Linked DNA regions of Macaca mulatta. The protein of the gene in region 3 binds, or shares a complex with, the protein of the main gene of each other region. Links are inferred from orthologs where the notes say so. Each region holds a gene or a part of one and is shown on either strand. Other genes may lie near its edges.

Region 1 (4,968 bases), on a different chromosome or scaffold from region 3:
AATTTGGCGAGATCACAAAATAGCGAAATACGAAAACTATTCCCTGCACCGCATGATAACTACATTAACTAAACTAACAATCAACATAACAGAAACATAAGCGATCGTCAGGAAGAATCAGATAGGAGCAATCAGGGTGTTGCAAGTCCTGATTACGCAGAGACGTTAATCACGTTTCATGCATTCTCCAATCATCATGTTCTAATCTGCCCTCCAAAAGAGGAACAGGTAAGGATTATCCCACCTGACGATATTTCTAAATAGCCGACATTCCGCACTCAGTCAAAAAGATTCCGTTTACAGCTAGGGTGAGTTCACGACGCGTTGGTATAAGTAACCCTACTACTTAGCATCCTTCCAGTTGTATTGCCATATTTGCTTGCACATTTTTAAAAGAATTTTTTCGTTCGGCTGCCGAAAAGGAATAAATTTCTTTTTCCCAGAATGCTCCGATCATTTACGTGCTGGACGTTCTAACTGTAAGCACTTTCTATTTACATATCTCCGCCCACTCCCTTCCGCCAGACAACTACCGTAATAACCAAAATAGAAGCGATACCAAGTATCTTACGGTCTGCAGAACTAGAAAATAACGTTGCTTCTTTTTTTTTCTTCAGTAGTTTCGCCATTTCAATTGTGCCCTGAAAACTGTATATGTCTTAATCTTACTACAAAACATATTTTATTACAAACCACTAAATACAATGCGGATAATCCCAGACTCAAGACGTAATTATTCCAACACATATCCTCCAGCAGAAGCAGTTTCCGAGGGGAGGACCGAAGCCTATGCCTTCCTTCTTCCAGGAATACGAAGCGGCCCTTGCCCCTGTAGCCTTCGTCCTTAGGTTCCCGTCATGAAGGTGCTCAGAAAGGCTTCTTTTTCAGCCCAAAGACGGTGACGAATAAAGTCATTTCAGTGACAGCTGGAAGGGCACTACCGAGGCAAGTGGTAGATTCAGAAACCCGTTCAATATAAATACCCAAATCTCCAAACCAGAGACCCCACCCCTGAAAGTGTAGGACAGGTGGCATGGGGTAGGGAATGAAAATTCAAAAGACTACAGGATGTTAAGTGGATCTGGTATCTCCCACATAGAGGAAAGGGCTGGGTAGGGGAAAAACCCTCAGGTTTAGGGTCAGCCTTCCTCCCTCATTCCCGAATATTGGATGCTACCACACCTGCAGAAGACAAAAATGTACCAATACGTAGTGCACTCCCAACGCTCGAATATGAAGAAGGACAGGGCCACGGATGCACTACAGTGAGCCCCAATGGCTTGAGAAGGCACCACAGTTAAGGAAAGTCTTTGGATCGACAGATAGTGAGGGGTCAGAAAAGGCCAAAGGCCAGTGGTGGGGTTGGCATCTGCATTCAGGTTCATCGTTTGCTCCCTCACCATATTGCAAGGGCTAGAGTCAGCATCCCCGACTTCTGAATTTTAGGACAGTCATGTGAGGAGAGACCAGAAGTGACTGCGCAGATGGGATCTCAGGCTACCCTACTCCATATCTAGGGGCCAGCCTGGATCCTTCAGATGAGAGGTAAGAGTAGGCTCTCCTGCTATGCCACACAGGAGTGCTGACAGCGACTTGATATGCGCTGGAATCAGCCTCCAGTGTCCTGGTCCTCCTGGTCCACAATTCTCTGACCCATGTGCCTGGCTTCCGTTGCCTCTTCTGAGTTCCCAATGTGCTTTATATCTTTCGTTTTTTGCCAGAGTCTTGCTCTGTCGCCCAGGCTGGAGTGCAGTGGCACGATCTCGGCTCACTGCAACCTCTGCCTCCTGGGTTCAAGCAATTCTCCTTCCTCAGCCTCCTGAGTAGCTGGGATTACAGGAGTGCACCGCCACGCCCGACTAATTTCTGTATTTTTAGTACAGACAGGGTTTCACTATGTTGGTCAGGCTGGTCTTGAACTCCTGACCTCAGGTGATCCACCTGCCTCGGTCTCCCAAAGTGCTGGCATTACAGGCGTGAGCCATCGCACCCTGCCTGTGCTATCTTTACACACTCCCATAGCACACTGCTTATCACACTGAATTACAGATGTGTATCTACCTCCTCATGGTTAAAAAAAAAAAAAGTGGAGTTTTTATTATTACTATTTATTTTGTAGACACGGGGTCTAACTATGTTGCCTCCTGCGCGGGCCTCCCACAGTGCTGGGATTACAGACGTGAGCCAACGTGCCTGGCCAAAAACTGTATTTTACTCTCATTTCGGAATTTTAAGTGCCTAGTAAACAGCAGGATTTAGCACATGGTTGAAGATCTTTGAACTGGAGAGACTGGCTACAGCAGACACTATTGTGTCAGGTGGCTGAAGGGAGTCCTGATAGAAATGGGTCGTGTGGGAAAGGTGGGCAGGCAGAAAGGATACAGATGAGGCTCTGGGTGCTGTTGAACATGGAGACTCCTGAGAGGAAACCGGCCAGCTCCACTGCAAAGAGGCCCAGGGTGACAGAAAGCGCGGCCACCAGCCTGCAGAGAGGAAGTGGACTGGCCCAGGCCTTTGGACTTCTTCTAAGACCCCTCCACTCCCACCACCTCTTCGTTCTGGCCACCCCGTCCCAAGAGCTCACTGAATGTCCTGCTTGTCATACTCCTCGGGGGTGAACCTGAGAGGCAGGCAGGCCTGAATGTTGCTGTCCTGGGAGCAGGGCAGAGAGGAAGAGAAGTGAAAAAGGGGCAGGCTGCTGGGCAGGCCTAGGGACGGCGGAACACGAGAAAACCCAAGTGGGTAAGACACTGGGAGAGGGGCAGGGTGGGGCGGGGACGACTCCGAGATGGGAATGGGGGCGGACGGAGGGCAGCCGTGGGTCTTACCCGGGACCAGAATAAAGTGATGACGACCACCAGATGCGCCAGGAGCGTCAGGAAGCGAGAGGGCACAAGCCCTGAGACCCGGCCCATGGCCCTTGGGAACAAGAGCGGCGGTCTCTGAGGCTGGAAGTTCAGAGACTGCGACTCCCGCAAGTCCACCAGCAAGCGGACAAATCTAGACGAACTCCTCCTTTCCGCCAGCTCAGGCACCGCCCAGTTGCCTTGGTAACCGCGTACGCGGGCGTGCTGCCGCGTTCTCGGAAAACCTCGCGAGAGCAGTACATTCTCCATCTGCTGTGGGTCTTTCAGGGCTAACTCAGGTCAGGGGTACCCGAAGGAGCTTCTAACCCAATGGCTGGGTACCCGTGCGCAGCCAGGCCCTTTGTTTCTCAGAGGGTGAGGGGTGGCACAGCCCCGCAGCGCCCGATCTGCCCACGCAGGGCCGACGAACGGAAACCCACCCTGGCCTAGCCTGGGGACACCTCTGCTTCCGCGGTTGCCCACGCCGGGAGCGGCCCCCAGCCCCAGCTACGCTGCCCAGTTGTGGATCACTTGAGATCACTCCCACCGCCACGCCGGGCTGAGGTCCCCGCCATGCCGAAGACTCACACCCGCTCCCCTTCCTCCTCTCCTCATGCCTTTAACTTCCCACCAAGCTGGGCCTGAGAAACAAGGGACCCGAACGTGGAGAGGCCGGTGTTCCTGGACTGCTCGGCAGTTACAGATTGTCACAGAGCCCCTGGTTGTCTGAGGACCCTAGGCCTGAACCTTCCTTGAGGAAGACTGATTTCTCTCAGACTACTTTGCTCAGTTTGGTGAAGGATTTGCAGAGTGCAAAAAGTGGTCAGCGTCCTTAAACTAGCGTGGGAATAAGAGCAAAGCAAGGTGGCTGGAAAGGTGGGAGTGGACGAAGGGAATGGTACAGTCCCTGCGTCTCTGGGAGGCTTGGAGCCTACGGGAAGGGAAACTCAACTTAGATTTCTTTATCTCTTGGAGGTGCTGGACCTCCGACATTGCCCAGCTACAGTCCAGGAAGCTCTTATCACCGGCGACGTCATGACCTTTGGGCCTCAGCGCAGGTCCCTGCAGATCTGAAAGTTCTTCTCTAATTGCTCAGTCAAGTCCCATCCTCAAGGAAACTCCCGGCCCATTTCCCAGGAGAACAATATCTTCCTACTTCCCACTCGACGTCTCAGTGCCTTTAGCCAGACTAAAGTACAAGCCCAAGAGGCATTTCTCATTCCTTCAACAAATATTTTTATATATTTATTTATTACCTAGTAATAGTATTCTAGTCAGGGAGATCAACAACAGACATGCAAACAAATAAATCCGTAAGATAATAGGTGCTACAAACAGGGATACGCGGGCCAGGCACAGTGGCTCACGCCTGTAATCCCAGCGCTTTGGGAGGCCCAGGAGGGCGGATCATCTGAGGTCAGGAGTTCGAGACAAGCCTGACCAACATGCTGAAACCCCATCTCCACTAAAAATACAAAATTAGCCGGATGTGGTGGCGCGTGCCTGTAATCCCAGCTACTCGATTACTACTACTCGATTAGCTACTAAGGCAGTGGAATCGCTTGAACCCGGGAGGTGGAGGTTGCAGTGAGCCGTGCCATTGCACTCCAGCCTCTGCAACAAGAGCACAACTCCGTCTCAAAAAAAAAAAAAAAAAAAGGAAACGCTAGAATTATAATTCTATAAAAGTAGGGCATTTATAATTCTATAAAAATAGGGCATTTATTCTTAAACTTTATTTTAGAAACTTTGGCCAGAAATTGACCGGGAGTGGTGGTTCGCGCATATAATCCCCGCACTTTGGGAGACCGAGGCAGAGAGATCACCTGAGGGCAGGAGTTTCAGACCAGCCTGGCCAACATGGTGAAACCCCATCTCTACTGAAAAAAAAAAAAAGCCGGGTATGGTGGCGCGCGCCTGTAATCCCAGCTATTCAGGAGGCTGAGGGAAGGAGAATTGCTTGAACTCGGGAGGCGGAGGTTGCAGTGAGCCAAGATCGTGCCACTGCACTCCCGCCTGGGAAACAGAGCAAGACTTAGTCTCAAAAAAAAAAAAAAGGAAGAAAAAGAAAATGCACTCTGGGACCAGAAGCGAAAGCTCATGCCTGTAATCCCAGCACTTT
Region 2 (4,974 bases), on a different chromosome or scaffold from region 3:
TTTGAAAACAATTCAAAATAAAATTAATGACAATTACATCCTAGGGAACACAAAAAGACATACCTCCAGTTCATTTTCCAGTTTCATTACTTTAGTTTTTAATTGATTTTCTATTTAAAAAAAAAAAAAAGACAAATGTTTTAATTGATTAGTTACCACAGAACAAACTTTTACATAAATTTTAATAACAAAATTAATTCTTTTAAAAGAGTCCATCATGATTATAAGGTAACAAAAAGTATTATACGGCAGATCCATAAAACAGGAGTCTAGAAATATGTATTATTAAATAAATGTTATATATTAAAAATAAATTGAATATATACAGTTTATAGAATTTAATTTTCTACAGCTTAATGAACAAATGGAACTCATTATTTAATAACATAATAAACTTTTTCCAAGGTGCTTACCAAATTTTGCTTGTTCTTCTCCAGCTTTTTCTACTTCCTCCAAAGCCAGCTCTACTTCTTGAGCTTTCATCTAAACATTTAAAAAAAGTTTATTTCAATATGCCTTTAAACTGGAATGTAAGCACTGAAAATAAAAATTTTGTTTTCTTATGCTCATTAGTGCCAGCAATGGCTGGCACATGGAGACTTTCAGTAAATATTTGTTGAATGAATAAATAATTTTTTCTCTCCTTTTTTTTCGCTTTTGAAATAGGGCCTCACTTTGTCACCCAGGCTGGAGTGCAGTGGCACAATCTCAGCTTACTGCAACCTCTGCCTCCTGGGCTCAAGCAATCTTCCCATCTCAGTCTCCTGAGTAGCTGGGACTACAGGTGCATGCCATTATGCTCAGCGTGCCATCATGCTCGGCATGCCATCATGCTTGGTGTGCCATCATGCTCAGCAAATTTTTTCGTAGAGGCAAGGTCTCACTATATTATCCAGGCTGGTCTCCAACTCCCAGCCTCAGGCAATCCTCCTGCCTTGGCCTCCCAAAGTGCTGGGATTATAGACGTGAGCCACCATGCCAGGCAATTTTCTTACTTAAGACGACAATTTCTAGATTTTTAATAGCATGAAACATTTTTGATTCTCCCTTTTACCTCAAGTCCTCAAGTCTTATATCCAGTAAAGCAACATATCTCTTTGTAATGTTTTTCCACTACTTTTTTTCTGTTCCAATTGCTATTATTCTAATGCATAATTTCAGGTTTAAACTCCTCTATAATGTGATGTTTGCAAAGCTCCGATTTCCTTCAGTTTGTCCTATATAATAGACTCAGTTTTGCCTTCCTAAGGCCTATTTTTGTACCTATCAACTGTGGTTCGAAAACGCCTTCTCAATTGCTGACAGCATAAAATACACCTTTAATGACCTCAAGAACCTATCTCAAAGTACCTACCCAAGATTTGTTTTCTCTACAGCCTGCTACAAACTTGCTGCACCGCATTTCCTCAAATGTAAAGAATAAACTTATTTCCTATCCTCAATATTTATTTATGGTAACCAACAGCTCTAGAATTCCCTTACTATCTTACCACTGCATTACCTTCCACTTACCTAAAACTACTCCTCAGTATTCATCCTCTGTGAAGTCTTCTGACACCTCTTAGATCACTTCCCCTCTTAACAAATCCCTATAGCAGTCATTGTCTGCATTTGTCATTTGGACCTCAGGATATATTTCCTTATGTTATTTTTCAACATACTCATTCTATTTCCCCTACATACCCTTTTAGAAACTTTAAGTAGAAACTAGCAATGTTTTACATACTAAAATACTTAATCTACATTTAAATATATTGCACTTTTGAGGGGTGATGTAGATATTACCAAGTATTTTCACAAAGATTACTTTATATAAGAACAGATTTTTATAGTTCCTCTAATAGCCAAACCTATCATTAAAACCTACTACATACAAACCTTCATTAGTGACTGAGTAATTCTGAAAAGGTGTATCACATTTTCTTGCTTTTCACTTTTTAGCTCATTTACTTCCACCTAAGTAAACAGAAAAGCAACTGTTTTATATTTTATAACCTTTAAGCAAAATATAAGAACTCTTCCAGATTGTGACAATTAATAGTTGTTTCTGAAAAAAAAATTCATATTTTATTAATAATCATAAGTTAATGTATATATCTATTATTATTGACCAAGTAAGCACCTTGGATAAGGAAATCAATAAATTATCTGCCAGTTCTTCTTGACGGGGCAGGTCATCTGGGTCAACTTTCATTATTTCTTTCCAGTTTATATTAGGTGGCATCTTGAATTCTTTCACTGTGCTCCACCTCTGTAACAAAACAGGTGGATATTAGCATTTTCAAGGTACACAGCATTATTGGTTTTCTAATAGCCTACATTTTTTGCAGATTATTTCATTATAACTTTCTTATGTTAGCAAAGAACTATGCCTTAGCCACAAAACAGACAAGTGGGCAAAATAGCCTTGATCAAAAATAGCAGTCGGCACAAACTGTCAGAGAGTGTACCGGCTAAATAAAATGTGACGGCTTCCTTGCTAACACTAATATAAGTTAGGACTAAGATTTCTGGGTCCCTTCCTCCACACCGCCTACCCACAACGCGCGCGAACACCCTAATCTTGGCAAGCGCGAGGGTCTGTGGAAGGCTGACAATGATCCTTGATTTGGAGAAGCAGAATTGGGGCTGGAAAAAAAAAAAAAAAAAGAAGCAGAAATTAACAATTGGAATGAGTGAAGTTGTGCGGCGGAAACCGGAACCGAAGTAAGGCAGGATTACGGACCCGAGGCTGGAAGGGACGGGGTAGCTGCGCTGCGGCACACGGGCCCTAAGGCTAAAGAACCTGAACGTGGAGTGACTCGCTGATCCTGCTTACAGGGATCCACCCACCTACACCAAGCCTGGCAACCAGCGGAGGTCCCTCACTACCACAACCACCAAGCTGGACAGATCCCTATCGCGGTTCCACGCGGACTCTGGGTCCAGCCAAATGGTCCCCAAGGAAGCCAAAGCGGCAGCGGCTGCTAAGCGACACCATCCCTAACTCCGCCGGGGCCAGAAGAAGATCCCGGATGCAAAGAGAGCCTACAATTCACGACCGTGGGTGATGCTTTACGTTTAGATTCTCCGCCGGAGTCCCAGGACTCGGTGTTCAGGATGATGAGAAGGCGTGGAACGAGGACTCCAAATCCCAGAGTGCAGATGTGCCTGAGGTTTGTGCATGCTGGGAACTGAAGTCCCTGAGAAGAGGAGATAAGGCGCTCCCGGCGTGCAACGCGGAAGGCTGCGACGGTACCGGGGCGGCGGGGAAGGACCGAGAGGCGGGAGGCGCAGTGGCTGAGGCGCCTACGAGCTGGTGGCCTGAACGAGGTAGACCATGACTGTGGCTTTAGTGGCGTCACTCGCTGGGCCGCTCTTCATGAGGTTTTCCTAAGCCATCCCCTGGCGGAACCGCTTCCAGGTGAGGTCGAGCTGTGGGTCAGCGTATCAGGAGGAGTTGAGGGCAGCAGTCTGGGTTAGAGAAGCTTCTGCTATTGGGGCCGTAGGGCCTGGCCCCATTCTGAAAAAGTGGAAACACCCTGCCTTCTCTTCAGGCGTTTGCAGGCGGCGTCCAAGGTAGTGCCTTCTGTAAGAAGGAAAAAACAAAAAGTTTTAGCCTTGTTTAGTATCAGAATCTTTCTTGGTAGAGTGAGAGCCGCGCAGCCGTGATCCTCGTTTGGGGGCGAGCGAAGAATTGACAAGAGGTCTCGGCATCCTCTGACCCCGCCAGCCTTACCTGTAGCACCATTCCCTTCGCAGATGGTGGGACTTGATGGTTGTGGAGCTAGTATAAAGGGAAGGCTCTAGAGAGGAGAGGTTAGTGCTTGTCCGGGCCACTGCCGGGGGTGGAGAGAGAAGGTACCCGAGGACTCACCTGTACTATTGTCACTGCTTGGTTACCTAGGGTGTCCTTCCATGAAAGCGCCTTCTCTGGTGTTTACCACGCTTACTTGTGCAAGTTTTGCTCATCTGCTCATAGCCATACTGGAGTGCGATACACCTCTAACTAACTTTCCTAAGAAGCTGTAGATTTAAATCTAAATGACATTTCCAACTATCTGTACCAGTGCTTCTCATCTTTCTTTTTTTTTTTTTTTAACGCTGCTTTAAAAAAAATTTTACTATACTTGATGGTAAATTTTCCTTTCGAAAATAAGTAATGAATTTCTTTTTAAACTCCCAATTTGGGTAAAATAAATAGCTCAGTACAAAATAAAAATATACTGGTTTTGTGAGATAAATTTTAAAGACATTAGTTAGATTTATAGGAATGACAATTTTACTACTTTTCTGAAAGATTTTATGCCAAATACTATTCATTATCTTGTTTATTCTTCCTTACAATCCAGTGAAATAGGTGCTTACGTTGTCCTCATTTTCCATCTAAGTTAAGAAACTGAGGTTTGGAGAAGCTAAGTACTCTAACTTAAATAGTGTGATTGAACACAGATCTCTCTGGCTGGAGGACATATTCTTAACTTCTATACACCTCCTCAGACATTCTGGGAAACCAGTATTTGTGAAGTGCTTGTGCCTCAATCTTGCTGTTTTTATTAAATGTTATATTTTAATTTTGTACGTGTTTACTCAATTAATTTGAATTAAATATTCTTCATGTTCAGTGTTCTTAATTCATAATTTAACATGAGATGATGTTTCTGGAAAGGGGTTCTGATCCAGACCCCAGGAGAGGGCTCTTGTATCTTGTCAAGAAAGAACTGGAGGTGCACACATCCCCATTGGAGGTGCTAGACTAAGGATTCTTATAGTTATTTCTTGATTATATGATAAACAAGGGGTGGGTTATTCATGAGTTTTCTGGGAAGAGGGTAGGCAATTCCTAGATCTGAGTGTTCCTCCCCTTTTTAGACCATATAGAGTAACTTCTTCACATTGCCATGGCATCTGTAAACTGTCATAGCGCTGGTGGGAGTGTCTTTTAGGATGCTAATGCATTATAATTAGTGTATAATGAGCAGTGAGAACTACCAG
Region 3 (4,455 bases):
AAAAGTTTACTGTACAAATTTAAAAGATAAAATTATTGTTTTAGATAAGATGGCTGCAAAAAGCTACTAGTATAAGAAACACCTGACAATGGCCTTCTCTAACTCATGTGAATGTCTTCTGATTTTTTTTTTTTTTTTTTTTTTTAGAGTCTCACTCTGTCGCCCAGGCTGGAATGCAGTGGCGCAATCTTGGCTCACTGCAAGCTCTGCCTCCTGGGTTCACGCCATTCTCCTGCCTCAGTCTCCCGAGTAGCTGGGATTACAGGTGCCTGCCACCACACCCAGCTAATTTTTTTGTATTCTTTAGTAGAGATAGGATTTCACCATGTTAGCCAGAATGGTCTTGATCTCCTGACCTCGTGATCTGCCTGCCTCAGCCTCCCAAAGTGCTGGGATTACAGGCGTGAGCCACCGTGCCCGGCCTCTTTTGTTTTTTTTTAGACAGGGTCTCACTCTGTTGACCAGGCTATCGTGCACTAGCATAATCATGGCTCACTGCATTCTCAACCTGGGCTCAAGTGATCCTCCCACCTCTGCCTCCAGAGTAGCTGGGACTACAAGCTTGCACCACCACACCAAGTTAATTTTTTTTTTTTTGTAGCAACAGGTTCTCATCATGTTGCCTGGGTTGGTCTTGAATTTCTTGGCTCAAGCAATTCTCCCCTCTTGGTCTCCCAAAGTGCTGTGATTATAGGTGTGAGCCACTGCGCCTTGGACTTGAATGTCTTCTGATTGTTTGAACTTTGCATAAATTTGGAAGGCTTTTCCCTGCAAATTACCTGAAAAAGCGGAATTTTATAATATGAGTAATAACAAAAGAAACTAATTTGTCCAAAAAAGCATATTCAGGACAGCTTGAAGAAAAAGCCCCAATTTACAGTTATACTAATGTTTCTCAGGATATACCCTCAGCAACAGTATAATTTCTTCACGATATGTCTGGTAATAAAATTAGTAAAAGTTTCTAAATCCACCATCAATATATTGTTTTATTTTTTGGTACATTGTATAGAACCATATAAGAGAGAATTCATGACCTTTCTTATGTGGTTTATTAAATTATCGTGTAGGTTAACTTATTTATTGATTTCTGCTCAGGGAAAAAAGTGGTATGTATGGATGTCTTACCTTGGTTCACAAATATCTTATTGTGTTGAAGATTTAGGTTTAACACAGGCACAGCCAAAATATATTGATGTTGATTTTCATCAGCATATTCAAGGTACACATCATAAAATATAGGAGTGGGAAAGTCAATTAAGATCTTAGAGATAGGAATCTCACACTGAAAAGTAAAATTAAAAATAAAAGCACATAAAACAGCAACTTAAAGTACTAAAAAGCAAAAAAAAAAAATCACAATTGAAAATTAGCAAGCATATTTATTATCTTCAGAATGTTTTTCTAGTTGTGCAAAATATCTTTATACTACCTTGTTTATATGCATTTCCATTTGCCTTCCAAAACCTGAATACTGTAAATATGATTATTTTATAAGGACCAAAAACACTAATAGTAAATAACTGCTTTGAGAACTTTGAAAACTTCTTAAGCCTCAACTCAGATGAAGGAGGTATGTTTTCATTCTCAATATTAAGTGTACATCAGTGAAAAGGTTTAAAACTACTGTCCTATGGGATAAATTCCCAATTTTTTCTCCTGCTGTACAATGATGTCTATGATCTGCCTTCCATTAACCAAGCCAGGTTTCTCTCTCATTACTCCCTATCTGTCTATGGTGGTCCATTCATACTAATCTACTTGTAGTTTCTAAATATGCCATGCTACTGTATGCCTCTCTGTCATTGCAAATGTGGCTTCTGTCTGACATTTCATTCCCCACTGTATTCTCCTGGAAAACTCATATTCATTATACAAGCCCAAGTATCACTTACTTTGTGAAGCCTTTCTATACTTCCCCAGGAATCAGTACCTTATACAAACCTATAGAATGACACTTACATTCTTTGCAATTCTTTGTCTATATAACTGTTTTGCCTACTACACTATGAAGAACTTGAGAGTTGGCCAGGTTCAATGAAATAAAAATGCTTTTTAAACCTGATGGAACATTGGCTCCACAGTTTATGTGACACAAGTCTTTGAGTAAATTACCTAATTACCTGGCATAATTTCCTCATCTGTGAAGCACAGATATTATGTATCTCACATAGTTATTTTATGAATCAAATGGAATAATAATGATAAAATGCTGAGCACACAGAGACAGGCATTACATAAATGTTGATCTTTCTGGCCTATGTTAGAAGCACAATAACATTTATTTTAAAAACAACAACAACAACAACATGTAAATCATTTCTGACAAAAGAAGTAAATTCATGTTCATGGTAGAAAATTTGGAAATTATAAACAAGAAAACAAAAACAATTTCTGACCCCACTATCCAGAGGTAATCACTGTTAGTAGATTCTTCCAATCTACTTTCCATAATGGTATTTTTTGTTGTGGTTTTGTTCTATGGTTGTGTGTGGAACTTTATCAAGATATATTTTTACAGACTAATGAATTTATATGGTTTGGCTGTGTTCCCACCTAAATCTCATCTTGAACTGTAGTTCCTATAATCCCCATGTGTCATGGGAAGGACTGGAGGGAGGTAATTGAATCATGGGGGCGGTTACCCTCATGCTGTTCTCATAATAGTGAAAGAGTTCTCATGAGATCTGATGGTTTTATGAGGGGCTTTTCCCTTTTTTGCTCAGTATTTCTCTTCCTGTCACCATAAGTTTCCTAAGGCTTCCTCAGTCATGCTGAACTGTAAGCCAATTAAACCTATTTCCTTTGTAAATTACCCAGTCTCGGGTGTGTTTTTATTAGCAGTGTGAGAATGGACTAATACATGCATGTCTTTCAAGTATTTAATGGCTCATAATATTCCTTAGTAAGATAATGTAATTTCAAAATAGGTACCAAAGTAAGGAATGTCAGAGAAGGAAGGAGAAAGAAAAAAATGGAGGAAGATGAAGGAATTATTTTTGTTTGTTATTAGGGGGTAGAAGAAGGGAGTAACCTTTATTAGTCATTTAAAAAAAAGTAGCATTTTTACGTTATTTCAAAATGCTCAGAAGTAAGCATTACTTTTTAAGACCTATAAGCCTAGAAGCAGATAAACAATTTATTACGAAGATGTATTATATGATGTTTAAGACTCTAGGCTGGGCGAGGTGGCTCGCACCTGTAATCCCAGCACTTTGGGAGTCCGAGGCTGGTGGATCACTTGAGGCCAGGAGTTTGAGACCAGCCTGGTCAACATGGCAAAACCCCATCCCTATGAAAAACACAAGAATTAGCTGGGTGTGGTGGTACATGCCTGTTGTCCCAGCTACTCAGGTGGCTGAGGCACATGAATTGCTTGAACCCAGGAGGCAGAGATTGCAGTGAGCCAAGATTGCAGTGAACCAATATCGCACCACTACACTCCGGCCTGGGCAACAGAGTGAGATTCTGTCTCAAAAAACAAAACAAAACAAAACAAAACAAAAACCTCTATAGATAACAAGGTGCTCTGTTTATGCCACTGAAATTAAGCTTTTCTGTACCCAGGTAATAAAAAATTATATTAATTAGTGAAATTATTCATCACTATTAAAAACATTTCCGGCCAGGCACAGTGGCTCATGCCTGTAATCTCAGCACTTTGGGAGGCTGAGGAGGGCAGATCACCTGAGGTGGGGAGTTCGAGACCAGACTGACCAACATGGAGAAACCCCGTCTTCAGCCGGGCATGGTGGCACGTCTGTAATCCCAGCTACTCGGGAGGCTGAGGCAGGAGAATCGCTTGAACCTGGGAGGCGGAGGTTGCAGTGAGCTGAGATCGCGCCACTGCACTCCAGCCTGGGCAATAAGAGCAAAACTCTATCTCAAAAAAAAAACACAAAAAACAAAAACAAGAAAAAAAAATTCCAATCTCAAAATTTAAGTATTATTCCAATTACTGCTGATATGATATTTTGAAAAATAAAGCTAAAATATAGTCTAATATAGTTCAAACTTACATTTTGTTGGTAGGTTGTTCCAAATGAATAAGCAGCATTTAGCCTTGTTTCTGTGTCTGGACAAAGCTACAGTAAAATAATACAACACATAAATATCTCTCACAACTGTTTTCTATTCTTATACTCACCCAAACATGGATATATGCTCTACATCATACTTATGTAATGTATCAAGGATATGAAAAGTTAAGGGAACATCTGTTATAAATTAAAGTCATAACTTTAAAGAAATAAAGCTTTGCCAGGCACGGTGGCTCACGCCTGTAATCCCAGCACTTTGAGAGGCCAAGATGGGTGGATCACGAGATCAGGAGATCAAGACCATCCTGGCTAACACGGTGAAACCCCGTCTCTACTAAAAATACAAAAAATTAGCCGGTGCTGTGGCGGGCGCCTGTAGTCCCAGCTACTCAGGAGGCTAAGGCAGGAGAATGGT
Region 4 (4,916 bases), on a different chromosome or scaffold from region 3:
AATATTCCCTGACCTCCCCACCCCACTGCACCTCTGCATGCTAAGAAGCAAGAGATGATAACAGGGTTACACATCCCCAAGTCTGGGAATCGTATTCTGAAACTAAAACCCTACTAAGAATGAGCAGCCAGAGTCATAACTTCCCTTTGGAAAAGCGGGTACTTAAATGCAGTTGTGAGGACAAATGAAAAGTACATAAAACACCTACAATGCATAGCTCCTAGAAGGAGCTCAATATATGTTATCCATTATTCATTCAACAAATGTTCATGAAATGCCAACTATTTCATAGATACTGTGGTAGATACTGGGGATAGAAAAAATACAATGTAAACTATGAAAATATAGAATGAGTATGCAAAGTCTAATATACGGAATGAATATCCAAAATCTAATAAGGAGTAGGAGTATTTGAAGGAGTCAGTCAACCTGCTTAAGATTCGAAGGATGGACAACATTTGACTGTGATATGCAGTAGTGTAAAAGGAGGAATTTTCAGGAAGAGAGAACAATATGTGTAAGGACAGGGCGTGCAAGGCTATGGATTGTTTTTCATAGTACACATAATTCAATGTTGCATAAAACTGCATGATACACATGATTCAATATTGCATAAAATTGGAACAATAAGCTAATGAGAGATGAAATTAGTCAGGGAGATGGAGCATATTGTATCCTAGGCAAAGCAATCATTTTCTCTTACACGTTGCCTTTCAAGAATTTTCAGCAAGAGAGAGCCATTATCCGATTTACATTTTTAGTCAGGACATTCTGATAGCAGTGTGGGGAATTTTAAGAGTCAAAACTGGAGTCACAGGACTGGTAAAGCGCCCACCTGAGGAATTTAAAAAGAGAGAATGAATATGCTTTGGTATAAGATGCATTTAGAATACTCTACAGTTCTTACTAAAACACTGGGAGCAAGTGTTTGACACTTGATAGTGCAAGATTACAGCAAGATAGTGGTGGCTTACAGCAAGATAGAAATCTAGGAGAGTAGGTTTAGAATGCAAAGTTGAACAGCTCAGTTTGTACACAGCGGATTAGTAATCTTTCTCGTTGCTTCCTCAAAGGATTTAGGGAAGCACATGGCATAGAGATATAGTTTGTAAGGTGTGGCAATGCCAGTGAGAATGGAAAAGCTGGCCTCCATAAACTCTCTCTCTGTACAAACGAAGCAACAGGTTACAGCGCGTGGCTGTAGGTACAGGAAATGGCGTGTATTCATGAGTCCACGAGTAGCGCAACTAGTATTTTTCCAGCCCTGGTGACTCAGAGCTGAAGATGGCGCCTGCGGCAGAAATCAGAACAGTGGGAGGGAGCGTTAGGTACAGAAAAGTATGGCGTTTTAACTTTTGTTTTCCACACACAGGGAGATAGCTCTAAAGGAATCGTGCATAATTTTTTCTTAAGATTTTGTCTGTAGTACAACTTCATTTTCCACGCTTTAAAATCATGTTTTCTTTTGTGGGCGCGACCGCGTGGGGAGTGACAAATCTGTTTATTTGCCTCATTCATTGATTTTCTTATTTTGGGCGACTTCCATAACAGCCTCCCCAGTTTTCCTTTGCCCCGTCAGTTTTTCCCTGCGCTTGCTACAATTCTAAGGCGGAAAGAGTATTTTTGGAGGTGAAGGCGGGGAAGACTCAAGCTCTGTGGGAGCACCCGCGCATTTCCGACTCCCTTCCCGCTCGCACGGCCTCGGAGGCTGGAGGCCCGTAAGGTCCCCGAAGCGCGCGCCCACCAACAGCCTGAGGGCCCCGGTGCAGGCGCCGCGCGGCCCCTTCTCCCGGGCGGAGGCGAAGGCGGTGGCGGCGCGGGGGCGGGGGCGGGGCCGCGGTCCGGGCCTAGCGCGCGAGACGCGTCGGTCGCCATGGGAACGGCGGTGTAGGCAGGCGCTGACGTCAGCAGGCCGCGAGTCGTCCGCACTGCGGCACAGAGCAGTGGCTTGCTCTCCGAACCCGGGTCCCTGGCGGGTAAGGTGGCTTCGTGGCCGCCTCACTTAGCGCCCGCGCCGCTGGGCGCGGGGGAGTCGATTTGCACTGTTCCGGGTGTCGGCTTGGGCGGGACGGACGGTTCTGCCTACTCCTCCTCTCCGTAAGTACCTCGTGGGTTCGCTGGTGGCGGGAGCGCGGGCCGGGGTGCTCGGCCTGCCCGGCCCTCTCTGGGGCGGCGTGTCGGGGCTGCTGGAGTCCGAGAGCGCGGGGGCTGATCGCGGATTGACCGGGGAGCGTGGGCCGGGTGTCCCGGAGGAATGCGATTTCCCGGAGTCCTCAACGTACTTTTCCGCTTCTTTCACTGGTCTCGGTGTCTCCGGAGAGTTGAGCATGGTGTTCTGATAGGGAATTCAATCTTTGCCTTTCCTACTCCCGATTCTTGTTTAAATGCTTTTAAATCAGATGCGTACTGAGTGTGTTTATTTCCTTTTAGAGTGTCATCCTGGGGCTGAATCTTCAACCTGTCAAAGCCTACTTAATTACGTCTGAGAAAAGGTGATCAATTTGTTAAACTTATAAGAGCCAGATTATATTAATAGGGTTGTTTCGAGATGCATAAAAATAGAATAAAAATGTAGACCATTTAAGCATCCTTATCAAAGGTTGTGCTGCGTTTGGCATTCCTGTGAAAACATCTAATGTGAAAATAAAGTTTTTCCCTTTTGAGAAAGAGATGCCAACAGTTTTTTCACCTGTTGCATTAGCAGTTACTGTTATTGCTTGGTTTAGGAGGAAGATTGCTTCTTATGAGTACTCTGGGAAATTTTTTAAAGAATGCTTGAAAAAATTAAAATACCAAAAGTGTTTTTAAACCATACTTAGAATCTTGTTTATGAAGAATAATATTTATGAAGTTAGAATCTTGTGTACTTATGAAGAATCTTGTTGATCTATTCATTGAATGTTGTGTACAGGATTTTTGTTTGTCTTTTTTTCCCTTGCGATAACATTTGGTTAAAGAGGGAATTATCAAGCCTCTCAATTTTTTCTCCCATTGATATTGAGTCACATATTGGCTGATAATCAGGTGGTCTGTAAAATAAAATGAAATGAGGTGTAATCCATTTAATTTTCCTACATAGTATCTCTTAGAAGCTCCTGTGAAAGGGTTTGTGAGGGAGAAGTTGTAAAATAATGGAATATATAAGATTCGGAGGTTTCTTTTAAAGTCCGACCTGAATTTTCGCAGATAATGTTACTAATTAAATATTAGTCATTAATTCTATCATATGTTTGCTGTAGTACACATTAAGATTTAGAGATGGCTGGGCGCAGTGGATCAGGCCTGTAATCCTAGCACTTTGGGAGGATCAAGAGTGGGTGGATCACTTGAGGTCAGGAGTTCAGTATCGGCCTGGCTAATGTTGGTGAAAACCCATCTCTACTAAAAATACAACAATTAGCCGGGCGTGGTGGCGCACAACTGTAGTCCCAGCTGCTAGGGAGGTTGAGGCAGGGGAATTGCTTGAACCCAGGAGGCGGAGGCAGCAGTGAGCTGAGATTGTGCCACTGCACTCCAACCTGGGCAACAGAGCAAGACTTTGTCTCCAAAAAAAAAAAAAATTAGAGATGATTTCTATAATGTATTTGCTGTGTTATTAAATAATATTAGTATTTATTCAGTTGTGTATTAAGCTATTAACAGTAAATAATTCTATGATTTCTGTATTTTATTAATAATTACTTATTTTTAATACAATAATACTGGACATAAAGTAATTTTATTGCAGTGTACTCATTACTTTGCTTTTTGGTATTTTCTCCTTGCAGTACTAAAACAGGTGCCATTTTAAATTCCCAGACAAGGAAAAACCAAGGATTAGAAATTAAGTAGCTTACCCAATGCCACACATCAGTAAGTGGTGACACTGGAGGTCAAACCTGAGTCTTTTTTACTCTAGGACCGTTGCTACTGCTTCGCTTTGCTTTGCTTCTCGTGTTTTCTCTTCTCTCTCCTCTTTTCTTTCATAGTGGCAGATACATAACTATAGAGAGCATTGGCGTGGCCTCCAAAGCTAGCAGTTTGGTGGGAGACAGAACATTTAACCAGGATGAAAATTCAGGGCTGAGGTGGAGGGAGTTACAAAGATTCAGGCACCCTGGGAGCACAGAAGAGAAGTGCTTCACCGCCCTTCAAGGTGCGAATGCTCTCTAGAGAAGATACTTGCCTTCAAAGGATAATGAGGAGTTTGTTAGAGTGACAAAGGAGGAAGGACATTTTTCAGGAGAGGGGATATATGTGTAATGATACAAAAGCAAGAGAGGACGTGGCACATGTGAAGGCCTGGAGGTAGTTTCACATGGCTGGAACACAGTGTATGGTGTGAAGGGGACATTTCATAAATGGCCTTGGACCTCAGTGGTAAGGACTTGATATTTTTTTCAGTGTGTGATTGGGAGCTAGTGAAGAATTTTAAGCAAAGAAATGACACCGTCACATTTGAATTTTAGAAAATTACACTGATTGCTGTGTAGATGATGATTTATTTTTTAAAAGGGTAAGGTGATAGTGGCATGGAAACAATCTTAAAACAAACAGCATAATCCTTCCACAGTGTTTTTGTCCCAGAGTTACTGTCTCATGTCACTGCCTTTAGGGGTGGTGGAAAGACAGTTGGAAGAATTCTGTAAAGAATTGTCTACATGTCCCTTCTACAGGGGTCACCTTCCATTCACCCCTCAGCCCCAGCCTGCTAGGTTTCTGCCCCTCCATAAACAGCTTTGACACACGTGACTTCCTTCTTGCAGATTCAGTGGACTTTCTTCAAAACCTCCAGCCCCTTTTGATGCCACACAGTATATAGGCTACATCTCCTTTAAAACTCTTTCCTTCTGTAATGCTTCTGTCTCCCCGTTTTTTACCTGTCTCCCTGATTTTACTTTATATTGTGGGCTCTCAGGATTCTCATTGGCTTTTTA
Region 5 (5,100 bases), on a different chromosome or scaffold from region 3:
AGGCGTCCGCCATCACACCCAGCTAACTTTTTTTTTTTTTGTATTTTTACTAGAGACAGGGTTTCACAGTGTTAGTCAGGATGGTCTCGATCTCCTGACCTTGTGATCCGCCCTCCTCAGCCTCCCAAAGTGCTGGGATTATAGGCGTGAGCCACCACGCCCAGCCTACTTTTTATTTTTTTGAAATGTGGGGTCTTGCTATGTTGCCCACACTGGCCTTGAACTCCAGGGCTTAAGCAATCCTCCTGCCTTGGCCTTGCAAAGTGCTAGGATTACAGGTGTGAGCTATCATATCTAGCTGCAAATATTTTTATCTCATTTACTTGATCATTTAGAAATGTATCTCCAGGTCTTGAGATAACATTTGCATTGAAAATTCTCAATTTCTCAGTTTTAGGCATTCTCTATTGAGTTCCCACAAGGAAAGATGATTTAGCTTCTTCTCTCCCCCAACTCCTCCCACCATCCCCTATCACATTCTCAATACCTTTCTCATTACCCCCAACAGAGTTAAAATCTCTTTTTAGTCAACATTCAGTGTTCATATAATTAAGACTATGTAAATCCTATTCACAACTCTCATAAGTTTTCAGTTCTCAGTTTTCCTTACTTTTCATTTCCCTGCAGTTAATAATGATTTGCTTAGTTTTCTATGTACTTACCTAATTTCATCAAAGAGCTGCTATTCCAATTCCTCACAATCTGATGTTTAAAGGCATACGATTTAGTCAAAACCTTGTTCACAGAAATATTGTCCCTAGGCCAGGCACGGTGGCTGACACCTGTGATGCCAGCACTTTGGGAGACCAAGGCGGGTGGATCACCTGAGGTCAGGAGTTCGAGACTAACCTGGCCAACATGGTGAAACCCCTTCTCTACTAAAAATCCAAAAATTAGCCTGTAATCCCAGCTACTCGGGAGGCTAAGGCACGAGAATTGCTTGAACCCAGGAGGTGGAGGTTGCAGTGAGCAGAGATTGCAGCACTGCACTCCAGCCTGGACAACAGAGCAAGACTCCGTCTCAAAAAAAAAAAAGAAGAAAAAGAAAGAAAGAAAAAAAGAAATGTTGTCCCCAATAGTGAAAAAGTCAAAACAAACCTCAAAAAGAATATGGCTGATTAATAAGTATTGATACATATACAAAACTGGGCCTTCAATTTTGGTCATTATATCTACCTGTAACTCTATATTATTTTAGAATGAGCATGCACTTTTGTAATCAGAACATAAGAACATTCGTAAAGTAACAGGAGAAAAGTAACCTGAATCATATTAGGTTGTTGCAAAAGTAATTCCGGTTTTTTTGCCACTACTTTTAATGGCAAAAGCCGCAATTATTTTTGCGCCAACCTATTACTATTCTTTTTTTTTTTTGCAGTTATTTATATGACCAATTGGATTTTAAAAATTTATTTCTATTTATTATTATTATTTTTTTGAGACAGAGTCTCGCTCTGTCGCCCAGGCTGGAGTGCACTTGCGCGATCTCGGCTCACTGCAAGCTCCGCCTCCCGGGTTCACGCCATTCTCCCGCCTCAGCTTCCTGAGTAACTGGGACTACAGGTGCCCGCCACCGCGCCTGGTAATTTTTTGTATTTTTAGTAGAGACGGGGTTTCACCGTGTTAGCCAGGATGGTTTCGATCTCCTGACCTCGTGATCCGCCCGCCTCGGCCTCCCGAAGTGCTGGGATTACAGGCGTGAGCCACCGCGCCCGGCCCAATCGGATTTTTAAAAACAATTTTATTTAGTTGCTGGGAACAAGTCTGATTTTCTTTTCTCCTCAGCTATACAAGGTTGGCTTGTAGGGCAATCATCTTAGAGATGTCTGAAGAGATTCAACTTTGAAAGAAGGAAAACCGTAAGTGTCATACTTCTAAAGGAAAACGTTTTCAGAAAATGAGTGAAAAGGAGTGACTATAAAGGAAGCATTCGCTTATCTCAAAGCAAATACTAAATTACAGATTCCTCTCAGCACTCTACTGATGAAAAATTTAAAAATAAATAAATAAACTACAGACAGTAACATGCTTCAATTTCATCCCGACAGCTTCAGGATGACGCAGTCTCCAATGGGACAAACCCAGGGAGGCGTGACTCGGCCATAGCGCGTTCTGGGAAGGCCGCTTAACCAATCAGCGCCTTGGTTTCCAGGGGTCAGGGCTCCATAAAAATGCCGCCCTTTCCGCTCCTACAGTGGTGTGATGCAGAAACGCCGCGACAGAATGGGGTTACCTACATTAACAGCGCGCTGCCTTCAAGGCTCCTAAATGGACTTTCACAAACACCCTCCATCAGGCCAGGCCCGCGGGTGTGACGGGGGCAGACGCAGGCTGCCTCCACACCTCTGGACTCTGTATCAGGGCGCATATGCTGACAGCGTGGCTAACTTTCTGGGGGCCGGGGACGTCTGGGAGAAGCAGAATGAAACAGAAAATCGATTCCCTAGGTCCCAGGAGATGAAACGCCACCTTTGCGGGTTCGCGAGTCCTTAGGATCCAAGCTGGGTTCCCCAGGGCCGGGGCCGCTCGCCCCACATCCTCATTCCCGTCCCCGTCCCCACCCCACCGCCCGCTTTGCCCCAGGCCCAGGCGGGAACCACGCACCGAAACGAGCGGGACGCGCAGGCGATCCCCCTGCAGCCGGTTGAAAGCGGGGAACGTGCTCCAAGCGAGGAACCCGCCGCTCTCGGGTCCCAGCAGGGCCACGAGCAGCACCTGGTGTTGGAAGCGCACGGTCGGCTGCTCCTCGTAGCTGCTCCTCTTCAGCCAAAACCCTGAATTAAAGAAGGTGGGGAGGCCGTCAGGGAGGCCGGCCCCGGCCGAGCGCGCCCGGGGAGTCGCGTGACACAGCGGCTGGGGCAGGCTCACCGTGGCTCCGGAAGGCCACCAGCAACGGCGGGATGTACGTGAGCGCAGCGGCCAGCAGCAGGAACAGCGCGGCTTTGGAGCAGAGTCCCGCGCGGTAGCTGCGCTCGACCGGGTGAGAGAAGAGATCGTAGAGCGCCATGAGCACCGCGCGCCGGCACGCCGCGAGCCGGAGGACCAAGTTTGGCTTCTCCTGGTTGCCATCGCCTCGGTCTCCACGGCAACCGACGGCTCCCGGAAAGGAGCCAATAGCAAGGCCAGACCGAAAGGAGCCAGCGGCGAGGGCGGGGTTAGCGGGCGTGGCGCCGCCGGGGACTGCCGGCCTAGCTTTTCAAGCTGTGTCCCTTTGCGTAAAGGCTGGGCGGCGATAGAACGTTTCCGTGGACCAAAGTCGTGGCTGTTGTCTGTGTTAACATTTGTGTAAAATAAGATGCCCATAAAAGTTGACTTGAACACTGAGGAGGAAAAATTAAATATTTAAATTTGAACTGACATGGACACAAACAATGGTCACCAAGTTCCGAAACAGGTTGTGGGAGCCCCTTGAGGCGTTCATCCAGCGCTGTTTCGCAGAAATCTCTATTTCGTTCTATTCCTATACGTTAGTTATTGAAAAACAACAATCACAAAAACAAGTTGACCTTTTTGTGTTCCTTGAGCCCAGCCACGAAGGGCCCTCGTGACTGGGCCTCATGTCAGACAACATGTTACAAAAAGAGCTAGGATCCCAGACCACCCAAAGCTTCATGACACCTCTTCTCATCTGGGCACTGACTGAAGAGTGGCCGGCTCTGGAGCTCAGGCTCTTGCTTCCCAGTCTGGAGGTGAATCCTCCATAGTCTGATGAGTGTAAATATATATATGTCTTTTTCCTTCTCCTCTTCCCATTGCAATTTGCTTATATCAATCTGCTTATTATATTAATTTGCTTATTATAATATCTGCATTGCCATTTACGTGGGATAAAGCTTGCTTACCCTTAAAGGTATTGTGTGTGTGCCTTTTCTTCTCCCCTCGCGCTCCTGCACACAACAAACACCTGCTTTTGTGTCATCTGTTAATCCCCAGTGTAGTTCCTACTGAAATCCACTCAGTCACAAGCCTGGCCGCGGTCCTGGACCTGGTCCTGGGCTAAGACCAAAGCCAGGTGTCTTTGCTCCCAGATTTTCTCTTGCTTCCACTATGCTCCAATGCAAGACAAGACACGGAAACACAAATCCCCTGGCTCTTGGAGGGATAGAGTGGAATATTACAAAGCTCTGATGCACTTTGTTAACCCTGTGTTGGGTACAAGCTCAGCGGCGAGTTTTATAGGAAGCTGTGGTCCTCCCCAGAGATCACTGGCATATTGCTTAATTGAATGCTTACACCCCCCACCGCCCCCAACCATATTTCGAACATGGTAGAAGGACTTTAAAAAAAACAACTATGGTCCACAGCCAAGTTCTTCATCAAATGGCCCTGAATGGCTGGGCGCAGTGGCACATGCCTGTAATCTCAACACTTTGGGAGGCCAAGTTGGGCCGATCACCTGAGGTCTGGAGTTCAAGACCAGCCTGGCCAACGTGGTGAAACCTCATCTCTACTAAAAATACAAAAATTGGCCGGGAGCGGTGGCTCACGCCTATAATTCCAGCACTTTGGGAGGCCCAGGTGGGTGGATCACGAGGTCAGGAAATCGAGACCATCCTGGCTGACACAGTGAAACCCCGTCTCTACTAAAAATACAAAAAATTAGCTGGGCGTGGTGGCGGGTGCCTGTGGTCCCAGCTACTCGGGAGGCTGAGGCAGGAGAATGGCGTGAACCTGGGAGGTGGAGGTTGCCGTGAGCTGAGATCATGCCACTGCACTGCAGCCTGGGCGACACAGCGAGACTCCGTGTCACAGAAAAAAAAAAAAATTATCCAGGCATGGTGGCAGGCGCTGGTAATCCCAGCTATTCTGAAGGCTGAGACGGGAGAATCGCTTGAACCCGGGACGGGGAGATTACAGTGAGCGGAGATCACGCCATTGGACTCCAGCCTGGGTGACAGCGAGACTCCATCTCAAACAACAACAACAATAACAACAACAACATAAAGGTCCTAAGTGGCTGAGCATAGTGGCTTATGCCTGTAGGTCCAGTTACTTGGGAGGCCTGGGTAGGAGGAAGGCTTGAGCCCAGGAGGCTGCAGTGAGCCATGACTGCACCACTGTGCTCCAGGCTGGGAGACAGAAGGAGACCTTGTCTGTAAA

What was found.
Region 1: TMEM67 (region 3) and TMEM107 share a complex: the UniProt entries of both Homo sapiens proteins name them as parts of the tectonic-like complex. The link is inferred for Macaca mulatta from reciprocal best matches to the Homo sapiens genes TMEM67 and TMEM107.
Region 2: TMEM67 (region 3) and CEP290 share a complex: the UniProt entries of both Homo sapiens proteins name them as parts of the tectonic-like complex. The link is inferred for Macaca mulatta from reciprocal best matches to the Homo sapiens genes TMEM67 and CEP290.
Region 4: TMEM67 (region 3) and AHI1 share a complex: the UniProt entries of both Homo sapiens proteins name them as parts of the tectonic-like complex. The link is inferred for Macaca mulatta from reciprocal best matches to the Homo sapiens genes TMEM67 and AHI1.
Region 5: TMEM67 (region 3) and TMEM231 share a complex: the UniProt entries of both Homo sapiens proteins name them as parts of the tectonic-like complex. The link is inferred for Macaca mulatta from reciprocal best matches to the Homo sapiens genes TMEM67 and TMEM231.

The regions. Positions count from the first base shown.
Region 1 is NC_133421.1:9,692,180-9,697,147, forward strand, and holds TMEM107 (transmembrane protein 107), read right to left. Parts: upstream 3,008-4,968; 5' UTR 2,916-3,007; coding exon 2,829-2,915; intron 2,653-2,828; coding exon 2,585-2,652; intron 2,502-2,584; coding exon of another isoform or gene 2,484-2,501; coding exon 2,383-2,483; intron 1,546-2,382; exon of another isoform or gene 1,447-1,545; intron 1,280-1,446; coding exon 1,183-1,279; intron 938-1,182; coding exon 868-937; 3' UTR 613-867; downstream 1-612. UniProt on the Homo sapiens protein: Plays a role in cilia formation and embryonic patterning. Requires for normal Sonic hedgehog (Shh) signaling in the neural tube and acts in combination with GLI2 and GLI3 to pattern ventral and intermediate neuronal cell types.
Region 2 is NC_133416.1:95,386,395-95,391,368, forward strand, and holds the start of CEP290 (centrosomal protein of 290 kDa), read right to left. Parts: upstream 3,008-4,974; 5' UTR 2,833-3,007; intron 2,728-2,832; exon of another isoform or gene 2,538-2,727; intron 2,252-2,537; 5' UTR 2,225-2,251; coding exon 2,123-2,224; intron 1,957-2,122; coding exon 1,879-1,956; intron 484-1,878; coding exon 414-483; intron 111-413; coding exon 64-110; intron 1-63. UniProt on the Homo sapiens protein: Involved in early and late steps in cilia formation. Its association with CCP110 is required for inhibition of primary cilia formation by CCP110.
Region 3 is NC_133413.1:104,177,117-104,181,571, reverse strand, and holds part of TMEM67 (meckelin), read right to left. Parts: intron 4,086-4,455; coding exon 4,020-4,085; intron 1,286-4,019; coding exon 1,129-1,285; intron 1-1,128. UniProt on the Homo sapiens protein: Required for ciliary structure and function. Part of the tectonic-like complex which is required for tissue-specific ciliogenesis and may regulate ciliary membrane composition.
Region 4 is NC_133409.1:40,602,382-40,607,297, reverse strand, and holds the start of AHI1 (jouberin), read left to right. Parts: upstream 1-1,909; 5' UTR 1,910-2,097; intron 2,098-2,430; exon of another isoform or gene 2,431-2,492; intron 2,493-4,916. UniProt on the Homo sapiens protein: Involved in vesicle trafficking and required for ciliogenesis, formation of primary non-motile cilium, and recruitment of RAB8A to the basal body of primary cilium.
Region 5 is NC_133425.1:70,906,276-70,911,375, forward strand, and holds the start of TMEM231 (transmembrane protein 231), read right to left. Parts: upstream 3,008-5,100; coding exon 2,869-3,007; coding exon of another isoform or gene 2,775-2,868; coding exon 2,605-2,774; intron 1-2,604. UniProt on the Homo sapiens protein: Transmembrane component of the tectonic-like complex, a complex localized at the transition zone of primary cilia and acting as a barrier that prevents diffusion of transmembrane proteins between the cilia and plasma membranes.